Linked DNA regions of Kluyveromyces lactis. The protein of the gene in region 2 interacts with the protein of the main gene of each other region in a pairwise test. Links are inferred from orthologs where the notes say so. Each region holds a gene or a part of one and is shown on either strand. Other genes may lie near its edges. The genes, in order: KLLA0_E08405g and ABP1.

Region 1 (15,734 bases), on a different chromosome or scaffold from region 2:
CAAGTGTGTTTTCCGCAAGGCAAAAGTAAACCACAAACATCACCGCAATTATAGGAGTTTCCTAGAACTTTAGACCTAGAACAAGGGATTTGCTTACAGTGTTTTCCACATTTGCATTTAATTTGCACAGGGATCAGGCACTCAGGATGTGGACCGAGATGACAAACCTTGGAACAACCATGTACGCATGAATATGCATTGCAAGTTTGACCACAGGAATTAGGATCTAGCTCATTAACATCTGGATTGACAACTTTTCCACACCAACAGGTACTTCTTTTCTGTTTTGGAATCTTATGGTTGATTTTGTAACAGTTGGGACACTTCCAAGACTTATCTAACGTTTTGTTTGTAGATTTTAAAGCCCATTCCCTGACACATTCGTAGTCGAAAACTCTATAACAGGAATCACACGCATACATCCGACATGTAGAATCAAGCTCCACTGTACAAATCATGCACACATACTGATCACCATCTTTGATTTCTTTAACGGTTTGCTCATAGTAAGGAATATTGGTATCTTCATCGTTATCACTGTCAAAATCCGAATCAGAGGAATAGAGCCTTGGCTCACTTTCTGGGTATATTAGCTCTTCAGCAGTCATTTCTAATTCAACTGCTGCGATCAAGTGACGCGTTTGATGGAATGGACGCTTATATTTTAGATTTAAGCTAAGAGTCGGTATGACGGGATGAGATGAGATGACTTTTACATACAAAAACGTGAAAAAAAGTGTAAAGGCAGCAAAAGAAAAAAGAGAGAATTGTACCAAAATCCGTATAACCTAAAACCTGTACTGACGACAAAATCCCATCGATATCGAACTAGCAATGCTATATGCTGCAACATCAGATCTAGAAGTCCTCCTTGATGTGTCAACATATATGTTTATGTATTACGTGAAGGCATACGGTTATCTATCGTTTAGTCACCTGACTACTTTCAAAATGCTCGAAAGGGAGTTTTCAGTTTCCCAATGAATCGCAGATAAATTCCTGTGGAAATTCGAAATTTCATCAACCAGTCATTGGGATCATTGAAAGAAATATGAGTTACAGGAAACTGAATAACCTGTAAACTATAAATACACCCCAGTGTTACGATTTGGATTGGATTGCAGCTGTAGTTGATTCTGTGAAAACCATCACATTTTACTTTGTTTTAAGGTTATCGAACTACTTGTCCCGAAGATCAAGCAGCGAATTGTTTCATTTCGCTATATAACAACCATTCAATATGATGAGAACACGTTTCATTCAATTGTCCCGTCGTGCTTACGCTTCCAATGCGAAGAATTTAACAATTGGTTTAATTCCAGGTGATGGTATTGGTAAAGAAGTTATTCCTGCTGGTAAGAAGATCTTAGAATCATTGAACCCAAAGTACGGTCTATCGTTTAAATTCATTGATTTGCAAGCTGGTTGGGAAACCTTCCAAAACACCGGTAAGGCACTCCCTGACGAAACCATTGATATCTTGAAGAACCAATGTGAAGGTGCTTTATTTGGTGCTGTGCAATCACCAACGACTAAGGTTGAAGGTTACTCTTCTCCAATCGTTGCCCTAAGAAAGAATTTGGGACTTTTCGCTAACGTTCGTCCTGTTAAATCTGTTGATGGTACTAAGGACAGAAAAGTTGACCTAGTCATCGTTAGAGAAAACACTGAAGATTTATACATTAAATTGGAAAAGTCATACATCGATGAAGCCACCGGAACCAGAGTTGCAGATGCTACCAAGAGAATTACCGAAATAGCAACCAAAAACATTGCTACTATCGCTCTACAAATCGCTCAACAGAGATTGGAACAGAACGGTCATGCCACTTTAACAGTTACTCACAAATCCAATGTTCTTTCACAATCTGATGGTCTTTTCAGAGAGGTATGCAGAGAAACTTATGAAGCTAACAAGGACAAGTACGGAGGTGTCCAATATAATGAACAAATCGTCGATTCCATGGTTTACAGAATGTTCAGAGAACCAGAATGTTTCGACGTTGTTGTTGCACCAAACTTGTACGGTGACATTCTTTCTGATGGTGCTGCTGCCCTAGTTGGCTCCTTGGGTGTTGTTCCATCTGCCAATGTTGGTCCAAACATCGTTATTGGTGAACCATGTCATGGCTCTGCCCCTGATATCGCTGGTAAAGGTATTTCTAATCCAATTGCCACCATCAGATCCACTGCATTGATGTTGGAATTTTTGGGTTACCCAGAACCGGCAAAGGATATCCACAAAGCTGTTGATGCCAACATCAGAGAGGGTAAATACTTGACACCAGATCTTGGTGGTAACTCCACCACCCAACAAGTGTTGGAGGATGTTCTATCTAAATTAGATTAATTAATTAATATATAATGAATATATTTCTACGTTTGTTACGCCAATAACTTTGCTATGATTCGATATTTATTTTATCATGGACAGTGGATATAGAACTAATGGACTTTTACTAATCTCGCTCAAAGCATACGGCGAAAAAGCCAATGCCACCATCTTCCTTCGGTAAAGCCCTGATGCACCCTTCTGCCAACTCTTTTGCTTCCTCTTTCGGAAACACCTCTTCAAATTCACTGGTCCATCCTCTTCTAGGCCATGTTGGAATTACACCGGTTCTCTTTCTTACTTTCCAACCCCATTCCTTGACCTTTGAGTCTAAGAGCAAATCAATGACAACTCTTTCGTTTTCTTCAGCATGAATAGAACAAGTACTATAGCATATTTTCTTAGCAGATGGGAAAGACATGGCGTGTTTCACAATTTGGTATTGGAAAGATGATAATTTGGCTAATCTATTCTTCAAATCTTGTTCCTTTTCAAACAATTCTTTTTCTTGCTCCACAGGTTCAACCGAGGTCTGATCTTCATCGGTGTTTGATGACCCAGTCTTGCTCAAGTTTACTTTATCAATTGCCTTACGGCCAAATATACCAGAGCCAGAACAACTTGGATCAACGATGAATCCAGTTACATTCTGGAAAAGTTCTGGTTTACCAAGTTTTGTGAAATCACCAACATGTATCTTGACCCCCTTAGCACAACCCGCGGTGGCAACCATCATCTGTAAAGTTTTTGCACGCTCAGGATCCTTCTCAAAAGCATGTATCTTGACTGAATCGACCTTGGTGTCAACGTCTCCAAAGATATGTGCCGCAACGTGTGTGGTTTTATTGCCGGGAGCCGCACATGCATCGATAACAACGTCAGTACTGTTTGGATTGAGGATGTGGGCGGGGAAACAGGATGCCCTGTCTTGAATGATAATTTTCCCCCTCTTATATTGCTCATGCGAAGTGATCTTATCACCTGGATGAATGCCAAACAAGTTTGGAATATACTCATCGTAATATATGCTCCCAGGAACGATTTGTTTCCAAGAGTTCACTCTTTGTGGGAATTTCTTGTTTAATTCAGCAAGAACATCGTCATATCTTTCCTTGACAAGGATAGGGTTAATTCTGATCCAACGAACCGGTGTAACATCTTCTCCATCATCGGTTTTGATTAACTGCGACAGACTGGTGACTTTAAGTTTAACTTTGAGCTTTGTCAACTCAGCCTTTAACCTAGTCTGATGCTTCAAAATGAAAGTTTTGATAGGATGCTTACCCATCTGAATCCGCTTCGATTTTGAAAGTAAAAGGTCGTGTACTAGGAGCCTTATGGTATCCTTATTGAACAGCGGTTTCCCTTTCTTTTTCGGTACGTCCTCCAAGATCCCGCTCTTCTTAATGATTTTATCTAGATATTCCCTATACTGCCATGTACTACTAACAATGGCATAAATGTGACGAGGATTTGTCTTCAGCTTATATCTTTTACAACTAGTAAGTACCAAGGTCTGTAACGAACCTGCAACTCTCTTGTCTTTAGAGAGCTCCTGTTCCACGAATTCCAATACCCAGGTTGCATCACGGTAGAATTCCATCTCGAATCACAATGAAGTTAAAATGAAAATCCAATGAAATAGCGCTGTATAGCTTGTACCACAGATCCAGCAAAATCAGTTCTAACACGTAACTATATTACGTCTATTCTATACCTCATCGCGATGAGCTCTTGTTACATGTTTCTTCATACGTATTATACATTTTCAATTTTCAGTACTTGAAGAGTCCGATGTTGAAAAATAATTTCTTTTCTATTGTCACCTCAGTTTGGTTTTCTGTAAATATTGGAACTTTAAAACATCAACAATTTCCTGCGCTCATGGAACCATATGTGAAACAGCTGATCTTCATACGGATCTTCTGAGTACCAGATCCTGTGCAAGACAGCTACGTCCATATAACCAAGGTCAATCAAACGATTCTGACGGTATCTGAACACAAAACAACTTTTTTGGCCAGTAAAATTTCGAGAGATAATCCGAACGAAGAGAGTTCTCTCACAGCTTTTCCGCCATTTTCAGTGGACTTTTAGCCTTTCCTCACGATTAGAAGGTAAAAAGGCGCTCTAGGGAATTAAGCGTGCATTGGAGTTACGTAATTTGTGGTTGTATCATTCATTTCTAGTAGACCGTTTCCCATTGAAAGCTAGTTACGGTATCCCTTTTGCCATTGCCTGTCATTCAACATTATCGTGGTTACCTTTCCATAATATATTCGGAACATGGAAAGTAAAAAACCGGCTGAAGAGCCGCTGGAAAGGCCCAGCATCAAGGAAATTAAAAATGAGGGTACTGCATATACTCTGCCCAGTAAAGATGAATCTCAACGGCCTGTCATTGTTCCACCAACGAAGCCAAAGATTAGATATAGTCTTTTGAAAACCGGGATCTGTTATGATGTGAGGATGCGTTATCATGCTAAGATCTTCACGTCTTACTTCGAATACATCGATCCACATCCAGAGGACCCCCGCCGTATCTACCGTGTTTACAAGATCCTAGCGGAGAATGGATTGATTCAGGACCCAACTTTGAGTGGTGCAGATTCGATCGGAGATCTAATGGTGAAGGTTCCCGTACGTGAAGCTGAAGAGGAAGAAATTTTGCAAGTCCATTCAAGACAGCATTTGGATTTCATATCACAGACAGAACAGCTCGAACGTGAAAGTTTACTCAAGGAGACTGAGGGTGGAGATTCCGTGTATTTCAATAATGACTCGTATCTTAGTGCCAAACTTTCATGCGGTGGTGCTATCGAAGCATGTAAGGCTGTCGTCGAGGGAAGAGTGAAAAACTCAATAGCTGTAGTAAGGCCACCTGGTCATCACGCTGAACCTGAAATTGCTGGTGGTTTTTGTTTGTTCAGTAACGTAGCCGTCGCTGCTGCAAATATGCTCAAATCGTATCCTGAAAGTGTTCGTAAAATCATGATCGTTGATTGGGATATCCATCATGGTAACGGAACTCAAAAGGCCTTCTATGACGATGATAGAGTTTTATATGTATCTCTTCACAGGTATCAATTAGGCAAGTATTACCCAGGTACTATCCATGGAAACTATGACCAAACCGGCGAAGGGAAAGGTGAAGGTTTCAATTGTAATATAACGTGGCCAACAGGCGGTGTTGGTGATGCTGAATACATGTGGGCTTTTGAACAAGTTATCATGCCAATGGGTCGCGAGTTTGAACCGGATTTGGTCCTTATTTCATCTGGTTTTGATGCAGCCGATGGTGACACTATCGGCCAATGCCATGTTACTCCTGCTTGTTACGGTCACATGACCCATATGCTACTTTCGTTGGCTAAAGGAAACTTGTGTGTTGTCTTAGAAGGTGGGTACAATTTGGATTCTATAGCTAAGTCGGCGCTTGGTGTTTGTAAGGTGTTGGTCGGAGAACCACCAGATGAATTGCCTGCTCCTAAAAAGCAACCAACTCCAGAGGCAAAAAAAATGATCGAAACAGTCATCAGAACGCAGTCAAAGTATTGGTCTTGCTTTAAGAACAGACATGGAAATGACGGGATCAATTTCAAGGATGCTATAACTTCAACATTGGACACAAGGAATTTCCCTTTACAAAATGCTATTAGAGAATACCAAGTTTCACAGCTCTCATCACAATTCAACTTTGTTCAACTTCCAATTCTTGATTTGAATTTACCAGCAAATACTATGCTATGCACCTCAGGTATCCAAGACTCTGAAACACTTGTGGTGATCGTGCATGACACACCAGAGATTTGGTCTGAACGTGACACACAGACAGGAATTATTGATCCTTCTAGTTCAATTATCGTCGACAATGCTTTGAAGATGATCAATTGGGCAATGGATAGAAGATATGGAATAATTGACATAAATATACCTCAAACACTCTTTGAACATGCCAACTACCCAGGTGTTGCGTCATCACAAGAGATTCTGATATATTTATGGGATAACTACTTGAAATTCTTCCAAAATCTACAAAAGGTGGCATTTATCGGCATTGGAGATGCCTACGGAGGCATTGTCCATTTATTAGGCCATAGGGATACCAGGTCAGTGGTAAAATGTGCAATATCATTTTTAGACAAAAAACCTCTTAAAGTAATGGTGCCATTAATTGACGAAACGTTAGGAGATTGGTATTTCAAGAATTCCTTGGTATTCACAAGTAGCACACATTCTTGTTGGGGTAGTACGGCCAACGAAAATAAGAAGTTAAGAAAGAAGTATGGTAGAGTTTTGAAGGCAGATTGTGACGGAATGACAAACATATTCGATGAACGTTTTGAAGAAGCAACTGATTTCATATTGGATTCTTTCGAAGAATGGAGTGAATCGGAATAATTAGAATATCATTATAAAGATATATGTAATTTTAAAAGTATTCTATAATGCACTTGGAAATCTTCTTTCAAACTCTTTCATTTCTTTTCGAGATTGGAAAGGGCTACCCACAGAATCTTGATCGGAATCCTGCTCTTTAACTTCGGATTTTGCTGGGCTTGTTCTGAAAGATTTTGCCTTTAGGTGTTTAGGCTTAGGTGGAAGATTTGGCTTCAAATGAGCTGGTTTGGGTGGCGGTGCTGGTTTGGATTTAGGAGCCTCATGCACAGGAGTGATCACTGTACTTGATTTACGATTTGCATTGGATTTATGGTGGTCAGATATATCGGTTTTCCTCCCAATATCAGTATATTTCCCGTATCCAGTGGCAGAAGAGCGATTGGGTATATCATCTGCATTGATTAGATCTTTAACGCGCTTCTGGATCGAAGATGAAGTTTTCAAGGAAGAGGATCTTCTCAGTGATGATTTTGGTTTCTCCTTTTGTATATCTTCGATCAATTCATAGTCATTATTTTCCGGAACGAAGGAAAACGAGCTGGTGGACCGCCTATGGGATTTGGTGTTAGAAGAAGTATTTTCAGGAATGGATTTGCCTGAAGTACTTCTATACTTTCTTGCTTCTAAAGATGATTTTCTGGAACTGCTATCACCAGTGAACTGCATTGAGGAAATTCCCTTTCTTAATGCGTTAAATGCGGATTTTACGCTTTCACCGGTATTTTGTGCACTTCTAATGGTTGAAAAGCCCCTCTTCTCTCCGGTGATAACTTTTTTCATCTTAGAACCTATTTTACGAGTCAAGCTACCGCCAGTTGAGGTAGCTTCCAAGGATTCCGCAGAAGACAGAGATGATGCGACTGATTTTCTAGACAGAGATCGTGAAAGACCCAGTTCTGATGGATGATCGCTGGTTTGAGTTTCAGAGTCCACATACTTTGGTCTATCTAAGGATGTTCTGTTTGATGCCAAGATACTTGAAATGGCACCTCTACCATTTCTTACTGGACTCACAGAGGCTCTAGGCACTACTGATTGCGATCTTGTCAGAAGATGAGGCTGTTGATATTCTAGTTGTGGTATTCTCATTGCCCTCGGTAGTGATTCCATTGTAGCAGAAGTAGACAAAAGAGCAGATCTATCAATTTTGGAGAATGGATCTGAACTTGTGTAGTTTGAAACCGTCTGAGGAACTGTTTTTCCTGCAGGTTGCTTTTGTGAGAGTAAATCCTGCTGTGTGACCATAGGTTGACTCTTAGACACATGCAAATAAGGCAAGTGCTGAATAGATGCAGTTTTCGATGGAGTCTGTACGTTTGATACAACTTGGGGGGGCAGATGCTGAGTTGAAACAGAAGTTGGCACAGTTGCCGGCACAGTCATCTGTGGCACATGAGGAGGTGGCGACACCCTTGGTTGTTCCTGTTTATCCATCATTCTTAACAGATAAAAGTTTTTGATTGGACATGGAATGCCTTGAATACGTGAAACCTCTTCTACCACTTGACAAATATTCGGACGTTTCAGAGGATCTACACGTAACATGACACTTATCAAATTTTTCACTCTATCAGAATAACGTGGATAGGCTGGGAACTCGAATTTAGATGCTAAGATGGCAGATTCCCCATTTTTCTCGAACGGCGTAGTATAATAGCATGTTTTGTACAGGAAGACACCCAATGCCCAAATATCAGACTTCTCGTCTATCGGTAAACCACGGTATAAGTCGATCATTTCTGGACATCTGTACTGCGCCGTTGTATTTTTCATTATATCGTACTGGACATAGTTAAACTCCTCTGTATTTCTTGGCGCTCGAATGACACCAGACACTGATCCGAAATCACAAAGCTTAAATTCATGATTTTTCGAGAGCAAGACATTCTCAATCTTAATATCTCTATGGATCAATGGTGGTTGCAGAGCATGCATAGCAGCAACACCTTGACTCACTTGACTCATGATATTGAGAATCTCAAACTCTTGAAGTCTATTCTGCAATCTGGTATTCATGAAATCGATAAGCCCACCGCCAGAACAGTATTCCATAAGCAAGTACACTTCATACATTCCTACGTTAACCGGAGACTTAGTGGCATGTGAATCGATATACGAAACAATGAATTTGTTGCCTCTAAGAGCCTTCATTGAATCCACTTCCGCCCTCAATGTGTTAAGACTTGCTTTGTCAGGAACAACAACTCTCTTTAAACATGCTACATTATCTGGGCATACCGGATCTGGCGGGCTAATTTCAACGGAATATACATGCGCGAACCCACCGCTCGCGAGATATTTCAAAACCTTCACCTGATGCGATCCAACAGGCAATATGGTACCCGATGCGTATTTCTCAATTTGCGGCTGATTCATTTTAAAGATCCATATAGATGTGAATTCAGAATGCAAAGAAAAAGAGAAAAGCCAGCAGTTAAAATACAGTAAGCGTATAACGCCAACACAAATGGGTTAACCTTCGAGAAAACTTTTGCAAATGCCGTCTTTCCTACGTGCTCTCTTGTACTGTGACCTATAGCACAAAAGTATATAAGCAAATTGATGGAAATTTGTCCAGGCAGAATGAAGTAAAAAAAAATAATGCAAAACTCACAATTGATAAAAGTGCACCACTTGGATGAACTATGAAATGCAAAAAAAATAAATGTAAGGATAAAACCCCGTAGCTTGGTGGAACTACTATGCTTCTTGTTGCCCTGCTCAACGCTGTAAACCTCATTGAATAGCACTTAATTTACCAAATCTATAATTTTTTATATGAAAAAAAAACTGACTTCCATTTTCAATGTTCAAGCCTGATTTTTTTGTCAACATTGGAAAATGTTAATAGGGGCGGGTCCCTAAAAAGAGTGATAACAACTGCAAGGAAAAAGGAACAATAGGTGAAGGCAAGTCTTGGACCCTGGTGCTTACTTGTGCCCTTATTTTTTGTGGAGAAAAGTTTCTCAGCAGGGAATAGTTACAGCGGTGGCCTTGTGGTTTTGCTAAGGCCTCCTATGCTAATAAACATTAATTTGGAATAATGTGGCTTAAAAAAAAGTGATGGAATATATGGTTCTCTTCAGCCTGTGAGATGTCAAGATGTTGATGTTTTTTATCTAACCATTTCAGTCACGTGCCACCAGATCTGGATCTTCAGAATCAGATGAATCGATATTTGTTATTAGCTGCATGTCTATGTAACATATTGCTACTTATCCGTCAATTAGATTGGTAGCTACTCGATTATTGTTCCTGAGCGGTCTCGCCACCATGCGCCATGAGTTTGGAAAAATATACGAAAAACCATAAGATCTGGTTCCTTGGCCCAGTTGGTTAAGGCACCGTGCTAATAACGCGGGGATCAGCGGTTCGATCCCGCTAGGAACCATTCTTTTTACCATTTCCTTCCACCTTCGAACATGAATCTTTCTTTTTCAGTAGTTAAAGCTATTATTTTTGATTAGAGGTAGAAAAGATTCATCTCATCCCATCGAGTAAACTAGTTTGTTAAAGTCTACTGCACTATAACCAGTCACGGTGCGAAGTCCCACAATGTCCTTCAACAAATACAAATGTCGCTACTTTGAAGAAAACAACTGGTGCTTGAAATTGCAACCTCTATATCAACATGGATTGATGACATCGATAAGTGACGGCTCAGTGCATTTATTGGATTGGGGCAACTTGAAAACCATATCCAGTATTCAATGCCATACAACCTCCATCAACGATATGAAAGTTATAAACTCCGATTTTGATACTGGTGCTGTGTTCGCTACTGCAGCAGAGGACGGTGTTAAAGTTTGGGATATTAGAGCCCGAAACAATGTTGCGTCTCTTCAAAACGATAAAGCATCTCCCTTCTTCTCATTAGATTCAAGGCACAATATGTTAGCATGTGGCACAGAACTAAAGGATTACGATGCTGAATTGCATATTTATGATATAAGAAACTGGACTAAACCTGTGCGGTCATTTGTGGACTCGCATCATGATGACATTACAGATATAAAATTCCATCCATGCGACTCAAACTTGCTGATGAGTGGGTCTACTGATGGTTACGTCAACATCTATGATTTGACTCAAGACGATGAGGAGGATGCACTACATCAAGTTATCAACTTTGCTTCCATCCATTCTTGTGGATGGCTTGGCCCGAAAAGGATTTGGAGTTTGTCGCATATGGAAACTTTTGGTATTCACGAATTGAACGATAAATCAGATGAAATGATAGAGCCTAAACCACTAGAATTTGGAGACGTAAGAGATAAGTGGGGTTGTGACTATGTTATTGATATATACCCATCTTTCATTGCAACTGGAAAAACTCATGAAAGTCAAGGTGAACTCAAGATAATACCATTCCAAAATGAACAAGTTGATGTTTCTAGTGCCCTGGTAATACCTGATGCACACGGAAATGAAGTGATAAGAGATGTGCTTATTCCAAAAAATCAAACTTCCCTCCTATACTCTTGTGGTGAAGATGGTTACGTTAATGTATGGAAGGACACTACGAACTCTTTAAACGTTCCACACAACTTTTGGGATTATACACTACCATTCACAGCATTTGAAAACTCTGTCAGAGAAATTGAAATGGATATGGGACAAGAAACAATGCAGCACGAATCATCCTCAACATCTGAACAGGATTCTACTTCTACTGGTAGTGATGATGAACATAAAGAAAAGAAAGATAAGAAGGAGAAGAAGCACAGCAAGAAGAATAAACATGGGAAAAAAGATAGGAAGAGTGATAAAAAATCCAAGTCTAAATCCAAGAAGGAGAAAGAACACCGTTATAAACCTTATTAATATTGTGTATGCTATTATCTTCTTTTACATGAACAGTCTATTTAATGCCTTCGCATATTTAAAATATACACTTATTACCCGGATATATGTCACTGTGCCTTGTTTGATTGACGAAAATATGGAATTTTGTAATAAATATGATAGTAAACATTAATATGGCGACAGTGCTATATATTTTGATGAATGCACTATTCATTAGGTAGTAGCTAACATACAACAAAGAATCTTTGAAGCTACACTACCCAGCTGACAACCATGAGTAGTGTTGTGAATAAAAGCGCCAAGCGCTTTGTTCCTAAATTAAGAGAAAGACGGATACTGAACTCCACACCGGCTCCAACTGTGGTACCACCAGTGTCCGATGACATAACCAAGTCTACTGCTGAAGATTCCCATGAAAATGAAGCCGATAACGAGGACGGACTGAATGAGTCTAGTACAGATAATACGGAGCCAAAAAGAAGTGATGAAGAATCCAAAATTAACGAAACTGTTGACGAGGACGATCCACTAAGTCAAACAACTTTAGTCAAGAATTTGAACCCATCAAGAACCAGCACTCAGATACCGGTTGTCACAGTATCAAGTGCTACCAACCGCCGTAGGTCTAGTAGACTAGACTCGCTCTCTGGAACTAAACCTACTTTCAAGTCTGGTTTCATGGGGCCTGGTTCCTTGAATACGGGAAATGTACCAGAAAGAAGCAGAAGGCTCTCCAGTATATCCACAGGGTCACTGAGAAAGAAGAGTTTAACAGTTAATTCGGAGAATGATTCTTCACTGCAAGCAATTAAGCGGAGACGAATGTCATCAAGATCCTCAACCGGAAAAGGACCGGGTAAAGTTCAAAGGATTAGTATAGTATCACGGATGAGTAGTCCAGACGACGATTCATTAACTGCAAAACCAGCTGGTGACTCTGAAAACTGCGACGATATCTTCCAAAGAACTGATGATCTTTATCAGAAATACACCATTACCAATTTGAAGATGATTCCAAAGAAAATAGCGGACAAAGATTCATCCAAATACTTGATAGACGAAGAAAACTTTACTATGGCGGACCTATGTAAACCAACGCTTCCCATAGGTGAAATATCTGAGAATTTTAGCAGGGCTAAGGAAGCTGCCAAGCTAAAGATTGAAAGGAGAAGAAAACGCAGGGAACTACGAGAAATGGCTAGAAAAGAGTTCAAGTCCTTGAATGAACTAGTAACGGAAGAAGAAAAACAATTGAAAGAGGAAAGAAAGAAAGCCGCCCAGGATCTTTTTGATACGGAAGTGCCAGATGAGAAACCCCATCAAGGTATTCAATTGAAGATGGCCGCAGATGGATCTATGGTTGTTGATGAGGAATCTATGGTTGTCGACAGACATAAGAACGCGTCTCTTGAAAATTCATCTAAAGAAAAAATTCAGAACAATCCATTCGAAAATTTATACAATTCTGCTACGTACGGTCGTCAGCAGTTTACAGATCCATGGACTATTGAAGAAATGATCAAGTTTTATCAGGCGTTATCAATGTGGGGGACAGATTTCAATCTAATATCTCAACTGTTTCCTTATAGGTCAAGGCGGCAAATCAAATCAAAATTTGTGAACGAAGAAAAAAAGCATCCTGTCATGATAGAACTTGCATTGAGATCTAAGCTTCCGCCAAACTTTGAACAGTATTGCAAAGAAACAAGAAAAAATATCGGCACGGTTACTGAGTTCAACAAGCGCTTAGATCAACTACAAGTGGAACATGAAGAGCATCTAAAGCAAATTGAAGTAGAACGTCAAAATGCTAGAGAGCAAGACATCAAGCAACAAACTGTTAAAGAGCATGAAAGATCACAAAAAGGTAAACATGGAGGTAGGTACGATCAACTCAAAGGATACAGAAAATCGGAAATCGTTCTTGGATCTATCGATGACCTCAAAAAGAAGAGAGCTGAGGAAGCAGCTATTGAAGCTCAAACTTAGTATAATATTAAGTATGTATCTCTAAAATATTTGATCTGTCTTAAGAAAGGACTCTTTCAACCTGAATTCATATTCATGGAGTTGTGCAGACTCTAACATGTTGTCATTTTCTTAAAATTCAAGACGAAAAACACGAAAGTTTATTCAAAAAACCCTTTGCATGATTAAAGGTAGTGATTAATTAAGAGAAGTAACCTCTGACTGGCTTTTACTTGGTACGACAAGTATGACTGTCACCACAATAGAGCATAATAATAATGTTGCTATTAAATTTGTCTCGACAAACAGATCAGTTAGCCGTATCATCTCAAGACAACAATCTATTATCTTTCTCTATGTTATATTATCAATTATCAGACTATCATACGCAGATACATGGCCGGCTCTAAAATATGTGAATCCAATTTGTCTCCTCCTTTTCATTAGAGTACCAATTATAGATTCAGTACAGTCTATTGCCAACCAGGGCATTCAAATATCATGTTCGGGAGGGCTTTTGTTGTTCCCCAGGGATTGGAATTATGCATTATTCACAAGTATCAAATTCATCCCTCAGGATGAGATAGAAGACATTTTCATCAACGAAGCCTTCAGAGGATTACAAGTCATATACTATCTTGCAGTGTTGGTCAAGAACCAGAAGAAGCTACAGGTACTATTTGAGGTATGTCACGTGATTTAATAATAACCATCATTTATAGTAGTAATTCATCTGTGAGATGCAACTATCAACTAGTGGCAACATTCCGACTTTTTGCTGGAAAATACCATACTAACCAATTACATTGACTGTTAAAATCAGAGAACCTTACCTAGACTGCAAGATTTAGTGCCAGTTTACAGTAAAATCCATGCAAACCTTTTTGTAGATAGTGATTTCAAAAGAAAACATCAACATAATAATTCCATAAACAGATTTTCGAAGAGATGAGGTGAATGAAGTCTCTAAGTATACAAGGCAGACAGGTGGAAATAGTCTCTGTCAACAGTTTCACTAAGTTCTCTATCAACTAACTTTATCAAATTTTTTGCTGGCAAACTAAAATGGCACGGAAATTGAAGGGGAAGATATCATCCAAAGGACTTAAAGGTGCTTTGTTAAATCATCAAGCTAGAGAAGAAAGGGCCAAAAAGATTCAGCAACGAGAGAAACATGTGGCAGCTAAGGGTAAGCCGACTAAACAACCTTTAAGACAAAAGGAACAACAACAAGTGAGAGGGTCAGGATTTTTACCATTTTCTTCAGATTCAACTCTGTTCTTGGTTGGTGAGGGTGATTTTTCATTCGCGAAGAGCATTATTGAACAGCAATACATTCAACCAGAAAATCTTATTATAACCAGTTTTGACAGTGGAATCAAAGAGTTAAAGCTAAAGTATCCACATAGCTTCGAAGAAAACTACAATTTCCTTAAAGAGAATGAAGTCGTCATGCTGTTCGGGATCGATGCAACAAACTTAAAAAAATCTTTGAAGATCACGAAAAAGACTCCATGGCAGAAAGTAGTGGGGAATTCATGGACTACAAAGAAACTGGATTTCATCTTATTCAATTTTCCACATACAGGTCGTGGAATAAAAGATCAAGGCAGAAATATTCACGAACATCAACAATTGGTGTACAAATACTTTGATAGTTGTAAGCAGCTGTTCAGACTCGTAAACAGTAGCCAGATTATGTTAAACTCAAGCATTTCTATGGGTGGATACTCACTAAATAATGAAACTCGAGTTGATGATGAAGGTTATGGAAAAGTGGTTCTTTCTCTATTTAGTGGCGAACCATACGATTCATGGCAAATAAAAATACTAGCGAAAGATAACGGTTGGAAAGTGGATAGATCAGGGAAATTCGACTGGTCCAAGTTTCCAGGGTATCATCACAAGCGTACCAATAGTGAAATGGATACTACCAAACCAGCTGAGGAAAGAGATGCCAGAATGTACGTTTTCGAAATGTTCAATAAACGTAAACATTCCAAAAAACCTTTGAAAGACGACAGCGATGATGAATAAGAAAATACATATTCTCTATTATATCTAAGTAGGATACATTTTGATAAAGTCTGTTGTAGCATATATTGATTTATCAATAGGGTCCATCACTTGGTTTTCTTTAAGTTTAGTGTACCCCATTTTGTTTAGTTTTCGAGATAATGATATTAGCTTTTCAGAGTCGTAAATATTGCCATTTGGCAACATTACT
Region 2 (15,170 bases):
GGGATTTGAGGAGGTTCTAAAAAATAGGAGGAAAATCAGTTGGTCAAGGGTTCGACGTTCCATATTTCGTCGGCGTATTCTTGAATACAACGGTCACTGGAGAAGAATCCGACGTTGGCAACACTCAAAATGGATTTCTTCAACCATTCTTTCTTGTTCTTGTGGTACACTTCGTCAACCAAAGATTGGGTTTGCAAGTATGATTTAAAATCGTCGCTCACCAAATAGTAGTCACCATGATGTCTGATAGATTCAACTAATGGCTTGAAGTCACCATCAAAGGTGCCTTGTTCGATGACTTGGAACACTTCCTCCAATTCTTGTGGTAATGGTTCACCGTGGTATTGGTGTTGATATCTTAACTCTTCCACGTTTTCTGCCAAGTTACCAAACAAGAAGATGTTATCTTCTCCGATTTCTCTTGTGATTTCGACATTGGCACCGTCAACAGTACCGATGATTAAACCACCGTTCATAACGAATTTCATATTGGATGTACCAGAGGCTTCAGTACCTGCAGTCGAAATATGTTCACTTAAGTCACTGGCTGGAATAATAATTTCTGCTTTAGAAACGTTGTAATCAGGGATGAATACAACTTTAAAGATGTTATTGATCTCTTTGTCATGGTTAACAACATCACTGACACTGTTGATTAACTTTATGATCAACTTGGCCATGTAGTAACCTGGAGCACTCTTACCACCAAAGATGGATACCTTTCTTGGGTACTTCTTCTCAACTTCTGAAATTGGGACGCCTTGCGATAACAACTTTTTAATACTCAAATATCTGTAGATACATCCGAAAATGTTCATTTGTTGACGTTTGTATTCATGAATACGTTTCACTTGAATATCAAACAAGGTGTTTCTGATATTATCTCTCTGGATGACATCTTCTCCATCGTATAATTTTTCGATCAAATCTGCAAGTCTTTGCTTGTTGAATTGCTTGACGTCGTTCCACTGACTTTGGAAGTCTTCGTCTTCAGCAAATTTTGCCAACTCTGTTAGCTTTGACATGTTCAACAAATAGTCATCTTGAGGATCACCAATAGCCTTACTGATCAATTCACCAAGTTTTGGATTAGCTTGTTTCAACCATCTTCTTGGTGTGATACCGTTGGTAACGTTGGTGAATTTACCTGGCCCATAAATCTTGACGAAATCTTGGAAGATAGTAGTCTTAATCAATTCTGAGTGTAATTCAGCAACACCATTAACCTTATGAGAACCAACAATGGCTAAGAAAGCCATTCTGATTTGTCTTTCCTGAGAGGCTTCCTCGATAATGGAAACTCTACTCAAAAGATCAACGTCCCTTGGGAACTTGCTTTCGACGTGTTTCAAAAAGAACCAATTGATATCGTAGATGATTTCCAAGTGTCTTGGTAACAAATGTCCGAATAGACCGATAGGCCATTTTTCCAACGCTTCTTGCATGACTGTATGGTTAGTGTATGCAAAGGTTTTGGTAACAATGTCCCATGCTTTGTGCCAATCCAAATGTTCCAAATCGACAAGGATTCTTTGCAATTCAACAATTGCCAATGTAGGATGAGTGTCGTTCAATTGGATTGCAACTTGATTTGGAAAATCTTCCCAGGAGTGTTTAGCCTTCTTAAATCTTCTAACAATGTCATGCAAAGATGCGGCACACCAGAAATATTGCTGTTTCAATCTCAATTCCTTACCCTCTTGGAAGTTATCGTTAGGGTACAAAACAGCAGTGATGGATTCAGCACGTTGCTGTTGTTCAACAGAATTCTTGTAATCACCACTGTTAAACTTGGCAAAATCGAATTCAGTGGTTGGTCTAGCAGTCCACATTCTCAAGTTGTTAACATTTTCGGTCTTGAACCCAGGAATTGGCATGTCATATGGAACAGCAATGACTCTTTCACCTCCAATCCATTTACTTGCACACAATGTAGAGCCATCCCCATTGTTATCTGACCTATCAACGTAACCGTAGAAGTTAATTGGCACTTGAATTTCACTTCTCTCAATTTCCCATGGATTGGCAAAGTTTAACCAATAATCTGGGGTTTCCACTTGGTAACCATCGATAATCTTTTGAGCAAAGATACCGTACTGGTAACGCAAACCATAACCCCATGCCGGGTAGTCTCCTGTTGCCATTGAGTCAATGAAGCATGCAGCAAGACGACCTAGACCACCATTACCAAGAGCAGCATCCGGTTCTTGCTCCAACAAATCTTCTAGCTTGAAACCCAACTCATCAATGGCGCCCTTAATTTTTTCTCTTTTCTCAACACCACTTTCCTCAGAACCATCTTGTGAGTTAATCAAAGCGTTATCCAAGGCTCTACCCATTAAAAATTCCAACGACAAGTAGTAAACCCTCTTCGAGCCACGCGCTGTTTGTCTCTGCTGACTTTTGTTCCAGTCAATGACCAAGTTGTCACGGACACTTTGAGAAGTGGCTTGATATGCAGCTAAATCATCACAATTGTACAAAGAACGAGCCAATGTCGTTTCAACGTGTTGAATGAATTTGGACTGAAATTCGTCTGGGGTTTCAAACTTCTTAACCCCATGTTTTTTCCAAATTTCTCTACTCTGCAAAGGAATCATAGTATTAATACTCTTAATTTCCTGAGGCAAAAACCCAGTCAAACGACGGGAAAGACGAGGCACACCATGAGGCTCGTCAACCATCATGTCATTGGATGTGGAAGTGCTCAAGCTAGGTCTTCTAGCAGTACCGGAACCCATCTTGGCTTATCTTTTCTTATTCTTAGTCTAAAAAACCGCTTGCAAGGCCCTTAAAAATATATATAGCTTCCTTTCAAGTTAAAATAGTCAATCAATTAACTGCTATTATATTTGATAGGTTGGCCTTGAACAATTGTAACAATTGTATCTGAAACTTTCACAATTCTTCATTCAAGGTGGTTAAGGCTCCCCTTTCTTTCATTTCCTTTAAGACATCCCTTTTCAATGGTTCAATTGGCATTTAAATGCAAAGCGGAAAAACAAAAAAAACTGAAAAGAAACTATTTTGGTGGATGGCCTGACTATGGATGTACGAGTATTTCTCTAGATATAACTAACTATTTACCTATAACTACATTTAATTCGTTTTCGAATACAGACAAAGACGCAACCCTTAATCTATCAGAGACCGATTGTTGAATCCATGTGCGACAAGTGATATCAAGTAATATAGTTTATCCCTGTTGTCAAGTTATGAGGTCCAATTACTATGTTACTTGATCTATGTTCCATCGTTTAAAAGTTAGAACGAAAATCCTCTATGCACATGTTAATCTCCGTACTAAACCTTTTATTCCGGCCTCTTAATGCAATATGTTCTCTATTGTTTCCCCACGCTTTCAGAAAATGTAGTTTTGTACGTTAATTACAAAGCTTAAGGGGCGACGGGATAATTGCTTATGGTTACAACGTGACGAAGAGTGACATTCCTCGTCAAAAGGTGAACTGGTTTCTCTTATACAATTAGCGTAGTTTGCAACGTGATCGGCGTTCTCTTGAGAATTCAAGCAAGGCACAGATGTGAAAGTGAATGTGAAAGTAGAGATGTAAATGTGAATTAAGTGAAATATCTATTTATGGTTACAAATTTCAAAGATAGTGCAAATGGTCAATTTAGTTGAATTAGTCTAGTTAGTAAGTTTTCATTGAGGTGGGTTAGGGGTGATTTCATCTAGAACACTACAGTTCGGATGTATCACATACACTGTCTTGGCATTTGAGGATTCGACATCGGCAGATAGATCGTCGTTTTGACCATGTATTTGCATCAAGACCCTGTCCTTTACCAATCTTTTGATGACTTTGAATGCCAATTTCCTTTCTTGCCAATATTCTGCTTCGGTGTTGATGTCGTTTTCTTTCTGTTGTAAATACCAATCTACTATCTCAGTTTTTGTCATTTCAGGTTCTTCATTCTTTTCTCTGTCAACCACTTTCCGTACAATTAGATTCATCATTTCCACGTATTTATCATATGATATTGCGACTTTATGTGTTGTGTGATGAGCGTTGTCATGAGACTCTACGTCAGGACCACCCCCCGTTTCGGAGTCGGCGTTCAGTGGTTGAGAAGGTGACTGAGATTGTGTATCAAGTGTTTCGCCGAAGTGTTGTGTGGCAGGTATTGTGCCCTCACCCTCCGTACTTTCTTCTGGGGAGTTATCGTCATCTTCAATTTCAACGTCATCAACATCAACACGGATGATACTCTGTCTCAACAAATCGTACGCCTCAGCGACAAAGCTCGGAACAATTTCATCCACGCAATTAGCACGAGCAATAGCTTCACTTAATCTGATTAATGATTCCAGTTGTCTGACAGTTATACGGTACGAAGATTTACTGTACCCCTGCGCATCGTCTTTCCTTAGTTCTGTATATCTTTTGACTAGGTAGTCACGAGCTTCTTTAGTCATTACCGGCTTGAAAGTCTTGGCATAGTTGATATAACGACTCAATTGTTCTGCTGAGAATGGTGGATTAATAGCAGAGTCCCTCTTCATGTGCAAGTCTACGATGTGGGAAGCTAGCTCAGTATCGATCTTCTCATTGCAATCATCAAGAATGACAAAGAATAAATCGAATCTGGACATAATTGGTGCAGACATGTTCAAATTAGATCTTAAAGTCAGTTTCCTATTGTACCTACCGCCGACGGGATTAGCGGCAGCCAAAATTGAAGTTCTGGCATTTAATGTTGCATGAATACCAGCTTTGGCAATCGAAATGGTTTGCTGTTCCATGGCTTCATGAATAGCAACTTGATCTGCGATATCCATCTTGTCAAATTCGTCGATACAACAAACACCATTATCTGCCAACATTAACGCACCAGCTTCAATAGTGAAATCACCACCTTCTTCATCTTTCACCACAGCTGCAGTCAAACCAGCCGCTGAAGATGCTTTACCGGAAGTATAAACGGCTCTTGGAGAGAAGTTACAGACGTATTTTAGGAATTGAGATTTTGAGGTGGACGGATCACCAACGATACAAATATTAATGTCACCTCTCAATTTAATGCCTTCTACAGTAGTTTTATGAACACCGCTAAGCATTTGTAAAAGGATACCTTTCTTAATGGTTTCATGCCCGAAAACTGCTGGTGCAATCGATTTCACCAGTTTGTCATAAATATTCTCATCTTTCACCATCTCTTTTAATTCATTAATTTCGTCAGAATCAAGCCTTGTTAGGAAAATTTCTTGATCAGTTTCTGCCGCCATTTCATAGTTTTGATAGTTTCTCAAGTTAATATAATCAAATTTGGATGTCTTATCGGCGTCCTCCTCATTAATCCTACTACCATTGAAACTGGTACCAACATTTTCAACATGGCATGCCAAAAACGATATTTTGTAAGTTAAATCTCTAACACCTAATGATTTGAGCCCAGAAATACCTGAGTTCAATCCTTCCGTTGTCCGTGAGATACCTCTAGAATCTGGAGTCGAACTTGCTTTAACACCAGGCAAACCAAGTTGACTAACGTCTGGAACGACAATTTCAGTACCAATAAATTTACATCTATCACCTGGTTTAGCTCTTTCGACACAGTCACCACGAAGAATAATATCTAAGGTTCTTGGCATAGAACCGGATGGAATTTCATTGGAATTTTCTTGAATTCTTACCTTTTGCCAATCCAAGAATTTGGACCTGTTCACGTTTAATGACCAGAAAGATTGGTTCTCACATGTTGGATTTGGACAAGAGGTTGGTTCAGTGTACTTGAAAACTTGTTCCACATTGTCAATAACAGCTCGACACAATTCGCATGTAAAACTGGCTTTGTATAATTCTGGTCTAATTTCCGAAGTTCTCGTGACTGTGCCTGAAATAGCCATTAAAGAACCAATCTTATTAGCCCTAATATCTCTGATTCTATGGACAGTTGGGAGATTCAGGAAACTGATTTGCAAAACACGTTCAACCTGATCTGGATTAGTGGCAATGGTAGATGGGGCAGTGCCTCCTGCGGTGGCAGCCTGCGAAGTTGGCAAAGATGAATCTATTCTTTGCGAAGAGCGGTCCTGAGAATTCTCTTGAGATTGAGAAGGAAGTACAGAGTCAGATGTTAATAATAATCCAGGAGCGTACTTCTTCACCACATTTCTTAGCCCAGATAAAAGGAATGGCAAAAATCTGTAATACTGTTGTAAAATAGCAACCGCTAAAGCTCCGTCTTCCACCTCGGCCAAATGTTTATAGTCAACGTATATGGTATTCAATTCGTACCATCTCATATATTCAATTTGGACTCTATAAACCTTCTCCATCTCACCTGTTTCATCATTGAGGGCGGTGAAATTTGACAAGAAATGTTCGAATGCCTCTCTTACAGTTTCACCAGTTTTATCATCAACCTTTTTGATGGCATTCAAGTTTTTCTGCCTGATCCCGGCTAATGGAGTAATTTCTTGTGAATCATTTTCCATAGCCTCTATTTGTGATTCTGAATTAATGCCTTGCCTAGTGTCATCAGTACCGAAATGTCTATTTCCATCTGACACTCCTCTGGAAGAAGATGGAAACTGGGGAGTTCTGTTTCCTAACGACTGATCATCGAATTGTGAACTATCATAAGCACCTACACTAGAGGGAGGCTGGGATGATTGCTGACCATGTTGAAAAGGACTTGATGGTGCCGACATTGTTGCTGATTTTTTCAGCTTGCTCCAACTATGTCCGGTTTTGGATGAGCCGTTCAACCTGGATGCCCTTCACATTGAAGATCATGTTTTAAGTGTTTCAACATGTAAAATCATTTTTTTAATTTCTGAGTTAAGGCGATTCAATATTACTTTTCCTAAAGAGGTATTGCAAGTATCCAAAATTAGTTAACTGAGGTATAACACGAGGAAAACCATTGACTATCGACCATAACATATCGATAACCAATGCAGCAAAGTTCAATTTAATGGAATTTTTTCTTTTTGATTCGATAGGGAGAAGATAAAACATCGGTGAATTGATAATAAAAATTAATGATACGTAGGTAAGAATTCATCTTATTTAAGCGATATAAGTATATGGACGCGAGGATTTTAGAAAGCTGGCCAGGGATAAAATAGCCCCCCTGACAGTCAGTTGCATTAATGGTGAAGTGAAAATGAATCTAAAATCGAAAGAAAAGAAAAAAATGTAACCAGATAAAATAAACCGAAAATGTTAATGTGGACATAGGTCCACTGAAAAGCCGAATGGAAAAAGATTCAATCATTCTTGGTAATTGTAAGTATAATTGAAAAAGTTCATGAATTGCTGAGTTTCTCTGAAGTGCCTCTCACCCAGAGCGTACTCATTCATTTGTCTTTGTAAAGTAGTATTAATCTTAGGTTCATTCGAGTTATTCGTGAATTTCACTTCTTCTTCCATAGACATGCCTGCTTGCTCGATGTCGAGGGGGAGTACTTCCCAATCAGGATTTATTTGTGACTTTTGATCGGTAGATATGAAGTTCATTTCTTTATGGAGAACAGTATGTTCATGGGAGGATTGGGATGAGATAGACCGTACGGTGTCCAAAGCTGCATCTTCAACTGGTGATTTGTTCAATGAGGAGAATTCATCGAATGGTTGTGTACATTTGCGTAAATGAGTAGCTGTATTTTGAGATCCCGAATGAGGTATTAGTTGTGGTTGTCCTGTGAAGGGGACAGAGTTCGAGGGAGCGAGAGATGGGACACCGTTGCCATACACTTGGTTTTCGAAATGACCGTAATTCTGATTGTCGTTATGTTCATTGATATTTCCATTGATATTTCCATTGTAGTTTAGTGGTATTGAAGCCAGAGCAAAAGTGTTATCCAAAGCCAGGTCAGATATGGTTTGTTTGATGGGCGGGGAGGCAGAAGCCGGTTTAGAATACTCACTCGATAACTTCTTCCTATTTTCTGGCATGAAGTTGCTGATAGGCACCTTGGCTTCGCTGATAGTTGCTTGGTTGGAAATGAAACGTGACTGTCCATCAGAGGTCATGATCATTTTCAACTTCCCACACTTTTTACTCTTCTTCAGGTTACCCTTGAAAGTTGGCAAAATAGCTTCACATTCACGATTTTCAATATGATGTTCAATCCATTCATTTGTCGAATCAAAGTGTTTTTTACAACGGCCGCAATGTCCATGAGAGTTCACACGGTCCACATTCTTAACATTATCAGGATAAATGAAATGCCTTGATCTCAAATGGGTCTTATAAGAATCTCTTCTGGAGAAGCCACCTGTCGAGTGACAACGTTTCTCAGAAGGTAGAGATGCATCCCAGAAGGGACAATGATATGCCTTTTCTATGGCATGTTTCTTGATGTGGCGAGTTAAATACCCTCTCATTTTGAATTCTGCATCACAATAATGACACACAAATTTCATATCTGTTTCCTTCTTCTCATCTGACTTATCAGTGGGCACCTGAGACTCACTGTCGGTTGATGAGACAGGAACAATACCACTAGAAACTTCTGGTGTTGAACCTACAGAACTATCTTCTGACTTGATAACATCCACATGATCATTCAATGATGTCTTCGAATCATCATTCGCAGACGTCTCTCCTGTCTCTGGAGTAGCGTCAGTCTTAGGGGTAATATCCTGAGTAGTTTTCGTTTCACGATCCTCATTTACCTTTGGAGATGTATTCTGTGCGAAAGCTCTCTTAGAGGTAACAGGGTCAGTGTCTATCGTCATCTTCCATTCCATTTGACCTTCGGGAGTCCTTGCAACGGACATTGGGCTTTGTAATCCATTGATGTTCAAAGAACATGGTATGACAGAGGCATTATATTCTAACTGTCTGTCCACATTATGCGAGGATGGGAAAAGAGAAATGCGCCTGTTGTCAGTATCTTCTTGCGAGTTCTTTCCATTTTCATTAAGTTTCCCATCTTCACCTTCATCTTCATCTTCCGTTTCAAAATCCGACTTATTGCCCTTGTTTCTCACGTCCATACTTGAATCATCCTGTAATGTCTTACAGTCCAAAGAAACACCTACGACGTGACTGGCGATGGCATTGAACCAATTAGTCAAACGCCAAGAGAGTCGTTTGAGAATTGACTTATCCGTATCTAGCAATTGCACGGAAGGCATGGCTGATTAATCAAATGCAAAGTCAAATAAACGCTTTCAATAACAATAAGATGGTATAAGCTCAAGTTGGAAATTTCAAAATCAAAAGTGTTGAACTCTTAGACTTCAGTTTCCTTGAGCTTTATTGTTTTAACAATCTGAGTCAACTATTGTCACCTTCGTTTGTGATAAATGATCAATGGTATTAAGACCAAACAAAAAAAAAAAACAAAAGAAAATCCTTCGGGTTGGTTACACTTCTCAGATAACAGTCAAAGTAAGTAATTTATGGATATATGCAATATTCCTAGTTGATGTTATAAAAAGAATAATTAGAAAGCACCACTAATCGCAACTAACTTGCACTCAAAAGGCCAAAATCTCCAATTATTGATTTTCAATCTTCAACTTTCATTATCAATTTTCCTTATCCATCATTCTATTTTTTCCCTCTGATTGCCATGGTCGCAGCTTTTTTTTTTCATTTTCATGAGATTTCTCTTTCGAAAAACTGAAATTTCTGTCAGTATTAATCCAGACATGCTGCTAAACGGGCCGGAGAAAATACGGAGATACTTATCTTGAATACGTAGTTAGTTGTGTTCTTCGTGTTAAGTGATGTGCTCATGTTGATCGGGTAATATATTAATCATTTGCACTCTATAAGAGTAATGAAATAACTGTCTGCTCAGGGAATCCTAGTTTACAGTCTTTCGGATGCAACGCACGTGATCTCATTCATATATGGCAGTTTAAGCATTTGATTCTAAAGTCCGAAGCTGGCATTAGAATACATCTAAAACGTGTAAATTGAGTAGTGTACATGTTTAATATAGTTTACATTTCGAGTAAAGCTGTCTGAAGCTTATAGGAAGCTGAATTCTGACTTTGTGAATTCGGGATTTGATATGGTTATTATTCAAATGCATATGCAATGGAGTGTTTAGTTTATACTTCATGCAGGAGAGAAAAAAAAGAGTGTGAGATGAAATCGATAAAGGATAGAATGCAAATATGGTGAATGATGCAGATTCACTTATTTGGAATTACCCATTACGGTGTCGTCACTTTTGTTTTTAGTGGGTTCGGTAATGGTACCTGATGTTAGCTCTGGTAGGTTAGATTCGATTGATTTTCTGGAATTCAAGGACCCTAATTCCCATACAGTCGCCGAGTCTCCACTGATGTTGTCTTGTAAATTTGACCAAATATCACCATCATGCGTAGATGTACATGGGGGTTCATCGGTTTCTACTAGTTGGTAGTCCTGTTGTACTTCTTGTAGTCTTTTTCTTTGCATGTATCTGTAGTAGTTGTAATAGCATACGTCGATTAGTACAACAATCATGCCTAACCAGTTGTAAAATCCTAGCCTTTCATTGAATACCAGCATGCCTAAGAAAACGGTGAATAGTTCTTTGATGATCCCGGTGACACTTAAAGTTAATACAGGAGCCAATTGTAATATACCAAACTCACACATTGTTAATATGAAAACAAGGCAGCTAGGGAGTGTGAGAAGCGCTAATCCACGTAATAGAGCCGCGAGTTTCGAATGACCTTCCCAAGTCATCAATTCAGAATGCAGTACATCAGGAATCGGACGTTCCACTATGAATGAAGTGGAAAATAGAAGTATAGTCATTGGTAAAGCTAATTGATATAGAGTGATGACCGGGTTTTTCTTAGTAGCAGGTTTGTCAGCAGCCATCAACTCATCACCATCGTTGGGTGACAAGACAATGGTGTTCTTCTTGTGGTTGAGAATAACTTGAACGTAGACCCATCTGAACCCTCCTAGGGCACAACTTATCACCACAAGTATCACACCAAAGGTTTCCTGAATTTCACCATGAGTCTGAGAGCTATCTGAGTTTATTGGTTTTAAACCCATCATCACAACACCACAAAACATCAATGTCACTATAATGAATAGTCTCCAAGATGGTACTTCCACCTTGAATAGACAGCCAAAGAAAAGAACGAATGCAATAGTAGATGATTTGACAATTGTATAAACAGTGAATGGAACGTATTTGAAGGAAATGTTGCCTAAACCAATGTCACCAGCAGTTGCTATAGCAGTTGGGATAATGTACTTTGCATAGTACTTCCAATCACCTTTGTTCAAGTTTTCGGGGGTTAGTTGACCTTTCCACCGGAGATACAGATATGCCATACCCCATAACTGTGTTTGGTGCAAGCCTGTCACCAACAATGGGTATGGAATATGCAAACTTCTATTAGGATCGAACATCCATTTGTTGTACATGGTAAGAAGAATGGCTGCAATATACATCCCCATGATCAAAGTGAAGATCCTCACTGTGTCTCTATCCATCTTCATTGTTTTTAGCTATTTTATATTGACAAAAGTACTACGCCAGGCTTCTTCTAATTTTGTATTAATATCTCGTCTCCCTACAGTAGCAATGATTCACACAGATCTCCCAGAACTTCCATTAAACAAATCAATTGACTTCGAGGTTCTATGTTATTTCATTCTCTACATGTGGTAGGCACAAACCTAGTTACGCATCTTTTTCATGTTGAACGAAACCTATTTTCTTCTTAGATGCTTTCCTATGGATGAGGCTGGTGAAAAAAAAAAAAAAAAAAATTAATGAACCACTAACAAATGAGACTAGGACCCTATTGAGATAACTTACAGGGTTTTTATGAACCGGAAGCCGGAACGTTATATATCAAAGTAATCGTCGTACCAATTTGGCTCCCAAAATAATGTTGTTTTTGACATCTTGTGCCACCTTGTCAGAGAATATCAGAAGGATTTTCCCAAAAGATACAGAACAATCACCAGCTGAATATACCTTCAAATTAGTATGTACCAGCTGTAGAGAGGAGCACGATTCCCCTATTAGAATCAATAGGTTTGAATCTCATGACATGCCTGGAAGTAAAGGAAATGCCTCGTTCGTGATGAAATGTAAATTTTGTGGCAATGAGTGTTCAATAAACTTGACCAGGACTAAGGAAGACTTATATAATTTAGATGAAGAATCTAATTTCGAATTGATTGAACAGGGTAAAAAGGACAGAAAGAAGGTTGGCTTACGTTCTGTTCCTGTGGAAAAAGCTGTTTGGCTCGAGCTTGACTGCAGAGGATGTGAAGTAACTAAATTTGAACCTGCTGACACTATTTTTGTAGCTGAACTAGTTTCGAAGAAGGAAATGGAGTTTCAGTTTGAAGACGACGAAAACGAATGGTATGATTATGATGACGATGCTGGAGAAGAAGTGAGCGTAGTAGATATGAACTTTGAAATTGTAAAAGGCAAATAAGTAGACTTTTGTTTAGTTTACTTTTGTACTTTATTTCTTTAACATTATTTACTTGTAAAGTATACATGATATATTCATTTCAAAGTCCCACCAACTTATAACATCATCATTTATTAACAATGATAAAGTTAGAGTAGTGGTAATTTATTGGATCATTCCTCTAAGTTGACGTAATTACTTGGGAATAGACCCTTTTCACCTGATGATTCAAGTTCACCCAACCACCAATCATCATCGACAAATTGAATATTAATGATTCTTTCATTTTCTTCAAAAGTCAATTCATTATCTTCGCCGGCTTCGTAATCATATTCAGCAATAGCTGATGGTCCGGATTCTTTCTTTCCAGGTTTGGATGCTCTTGGTGCTGGAGATGGAGGAGTATTTTGAGACTTAGAAAATGCTCTTTCATCATCATCTTCTTCGTCCTCGTCACTTTCCGGTGGGGGTGGAACATTTCTCCTAGTTGGTAGAGAAGGAGCTTCTTCCTCTTCCTCTTCCTCTTCCTCTTCCTCTTCCTCTTGCTCCTCCTCTTCCTCCTCATCGCTTTCGGGTGGGGGAGGAACATTTCTTCTCACAGGCAACGAAGGAGCTGGAGTTTCTTCCTCTTCTTCTTGTTCCTCCTCATCACTACTCCAGTCATCGTTTTGTTCCTTCTTTTGATCATGCAGACCTGGTAGTGGTTGGCCAAACTTGTTCTGTTTCTTGGTCCAGCTGTCAGATGAGTTGATCTTAGAAGCTTGAGGTCTAGATCTGCTAGAGTCACTTGGTTTTATGATAGGAATTTCCTTAGTTTTAATTGATTCAAATTTTGATCTGACCTCTTCAATCTCTTCTTCAGCTTCTTCTTCTTCGTTAGAATCTGAGAACTCTTCTCTTTGGGTCTTGTTCTCTAAATTAGATGGTTTCTTTTGTCCCTTCTTTTCAGCCCAAAGTTGAGCTGGTGACTTTTCATTCTTGAAACCCTTGATCACCTTATCGTCGCTATCGTTTCCTGATGATTGAGCTGAGGAAGAACTCTTTGGTCCCAAGACTTTGTTGTATTCTGCATCCCTCTTTAGCTTGGATTCTTGCTTTAATTTAGCAATCTCAGATTGAGGATCAATCTTTTTGTCGTAATTAGGCCCCGAAACAACTAGACGGGGATCTTCTTTACTGTTTTCTTCAGCAATCACTTTTTGTAGATCAACTTTACCAATTGGTTTCCAGGAAGAAGAATTTGGTTCTAGTGGTTTCTTGTCGAAATCACGTTCTTCCAACTCTGGTTCACCCCATTCATCGTCCTTCTTACCTCTGCTCTTCTCAGTCTTTGGGGGAGAAACGGATCTTCTTGATGGGAACGATGGTGTAGGTTCCTTTTGCTCAGATTGTCTGGATGAAACACTGACTGGTTTCTTGGCTGTCTTGGCAGCAGAGGAAATTGGCTTCTTGGAGGCCGGTGTTTGTTGTTGAATTGAATAACGGGCACCAGCGGAGTTGCTGATTTTCATTAACAATTCAGATTCATCTAAGTCATCCTCATCTCTGGCGGTAACCTGAACATGGTAGGTCTTAAACACTTGATTAGAGATCACACCGAAATTCTGAGCAAATGAAGCTCTGGTTTTCAATGGAGCGGAATCTGGACACCAACCAATTAAAATCAACTTCTGAACATCAGAACCTGGTGGAGAAACACGAGCTAAACCGTATTGAACCTTGGTATCATCGAAACTTTGCAAAAACTCGCTGAAAGAAGTACCGACTAGTTCAGGTTCGTATTGTTTCTTAGAATTTGGCGAGATGATCAACCAAGTAGTATCTGGATCACCCTTCACAACCTTCAGGTACTCGGCCTCAATGGCACGCGAGTGTGTAGTAGTGTCAATTGGTTCAAATGCCATCGTAATTGCTATGCCAGACTGATAACCCTATAATAACTTAAGATCAATAACAACAAGAAAGGAACGTAATGCACCTCAAATTTGTCTGGTAAATTGGCAAAAACACACACTAATTCAATTGACTTTGCAGAATTCTTGTCTTAAGATATTTCTATATTTGTTTAAATATATATAAAGGTAGGATGGTACAATCATTCCACCAAACAGCAGTGGATTGATTCATGTTTAATAATTTAACCTAGTTCAAATATTGCATTCATGGCGAATAGGAGACAATTGTCAAGATTTTATTTCATAGGTTACCCGGAATATGAACTGTGGTTTTAGTTTCGAGAAATTCGTGCAGATTTCATTTAGAGAAACAGCGGTTGACATGAAACCGGGTAATATTTAGTACCATGAACAGCGGTCAGAGTAGAGAACGATATTGCAAAACTGTTATTAGCTTTATGAAGAGTTTTCTTATCAAGGAATCAATAACTATTTTTTGGAATAAAGCTGTGATGATGTTTCTGTTGGAACAGGAAATTAACTGTCGGTGAGAATTTCAAATTGCTCGATGTTCTATTAATTATTCTCCGGCCAGATTTCAGCTTATTTTCCACTACGAAACGGACCTTATGCTGAAATCACTGTTGAGTTAAACATTGGTTATAATGATGGGGGCCTTACCACAATAACTGATCCCGGAACGACTTTCCACGTTCATGATTCTCATATATGCATGTTAGGAAACTATGCCATCGCAACTCTGAGAAAGGTACTGGTAGACAAGCTCCGAAATCGATAATATCGATACCGGCAGGTTTGTATTCACTGACGCACTATTTGAAAAATAGGCCTTCTTCGAGATTATACAAGAAATTATCGAACCCAAGGACAAGATTCAGAT

Evidence for each region.
Region 1: the proteins of ABP1 (region 2) and KLLA0_E08405g interact in binary tests that used the Saccharomyces cerevisiae proteins (3 or more experiments, as listed by UniProt). The link is inferred for Kluyveromyces lactis from reciprocal best matches to the Saccharomyces cerevisiae genes ABP1 and PRK1.

The regions. Positions count from the first base shown.
Region 1 is NC_006041.1:749,430-765,163, forward strand, and holds KLLA0_E08405g (Ark/Prk/Nak family serine/threonine-protein kinase), read right to left. Parts: upstream 9,110-15,734; coding exon 6,776-9,109; downstream 1-6,775. Other genes in the region: FAP1 (Fap1p), read right to left, coding at 1-608; LYS12 (homoisocitrate dehydrogenase), read left to right, coding at 1,241-2,350; rRNA (cytosine-C5-)-methyltransferase RCM1, read right to left, coding at 2,460-3,935; histone deacetylase HDA1, read left to right, coding at 4,619-6,733; KLLA0_E08449g (uncharacterized protein), read left to right, coding at 10,289-11,557; transcription factor TFIIIB subunit BDP1, read left to right, coding at 11,813-13,528; phosphatidylinositol N-acetylglucosaminyltransferase GPI15, read left to right, coding at 13,755-14,210; BMT5 (25S rRNA (uracil2634-N3)-methyltransferase), read left to right, coding at 14,573-15,544; glucose-induced degradation complex subunit FYV10, read right to left, coding at 15,569-15,734. UniProt on the Saccharomyces cerevisiae protein: Protein kinase involved in the regulation of actin cytoskeleton organization and endocytosis. Phosphorylates PAN1 which disrupts the interaction between PAN1 and END3, and between PAN1 and SLA1. Phosphorylates SCD5.
Region 2 is NC_006042.1:931,954-947,123, forward strand, and holds ABP1 (Abp1p), read right to left. Parts: upstream 14,279-15,170; coding exon 12,548-14,278; downstream 1-12,547. Other genes in the region: GPH1 (glycogen phosphorylase), read right to left, coding at 36-2,741; MCM DNA helicase complex subunit MCM6, read right to left, coding at 3,665-6,676; KLLA0_F10109g (C2H2-type zinc finger protein), read right to left, coding at 7,242-9,113; YMD8 (Ymd8p), read right to left, coding at 10,129-11,439; KLLA0_F10153g (uncharacterized protein), read left to right, coding at 11,835-12,395; KLLA0_F10198g (uncharacterized protein), read left to right, coding at 14,999-15,170. UniProt on the Saccharomyces cerevisiae protein: Regulates ARP2/3 complex-mediated actin assembly. Recruits ARP2/3 complex to sides of preexisting actin filaments, which may promote nucleation or stabilization of filament branches. Binds to actin filaments, but not actin monomers.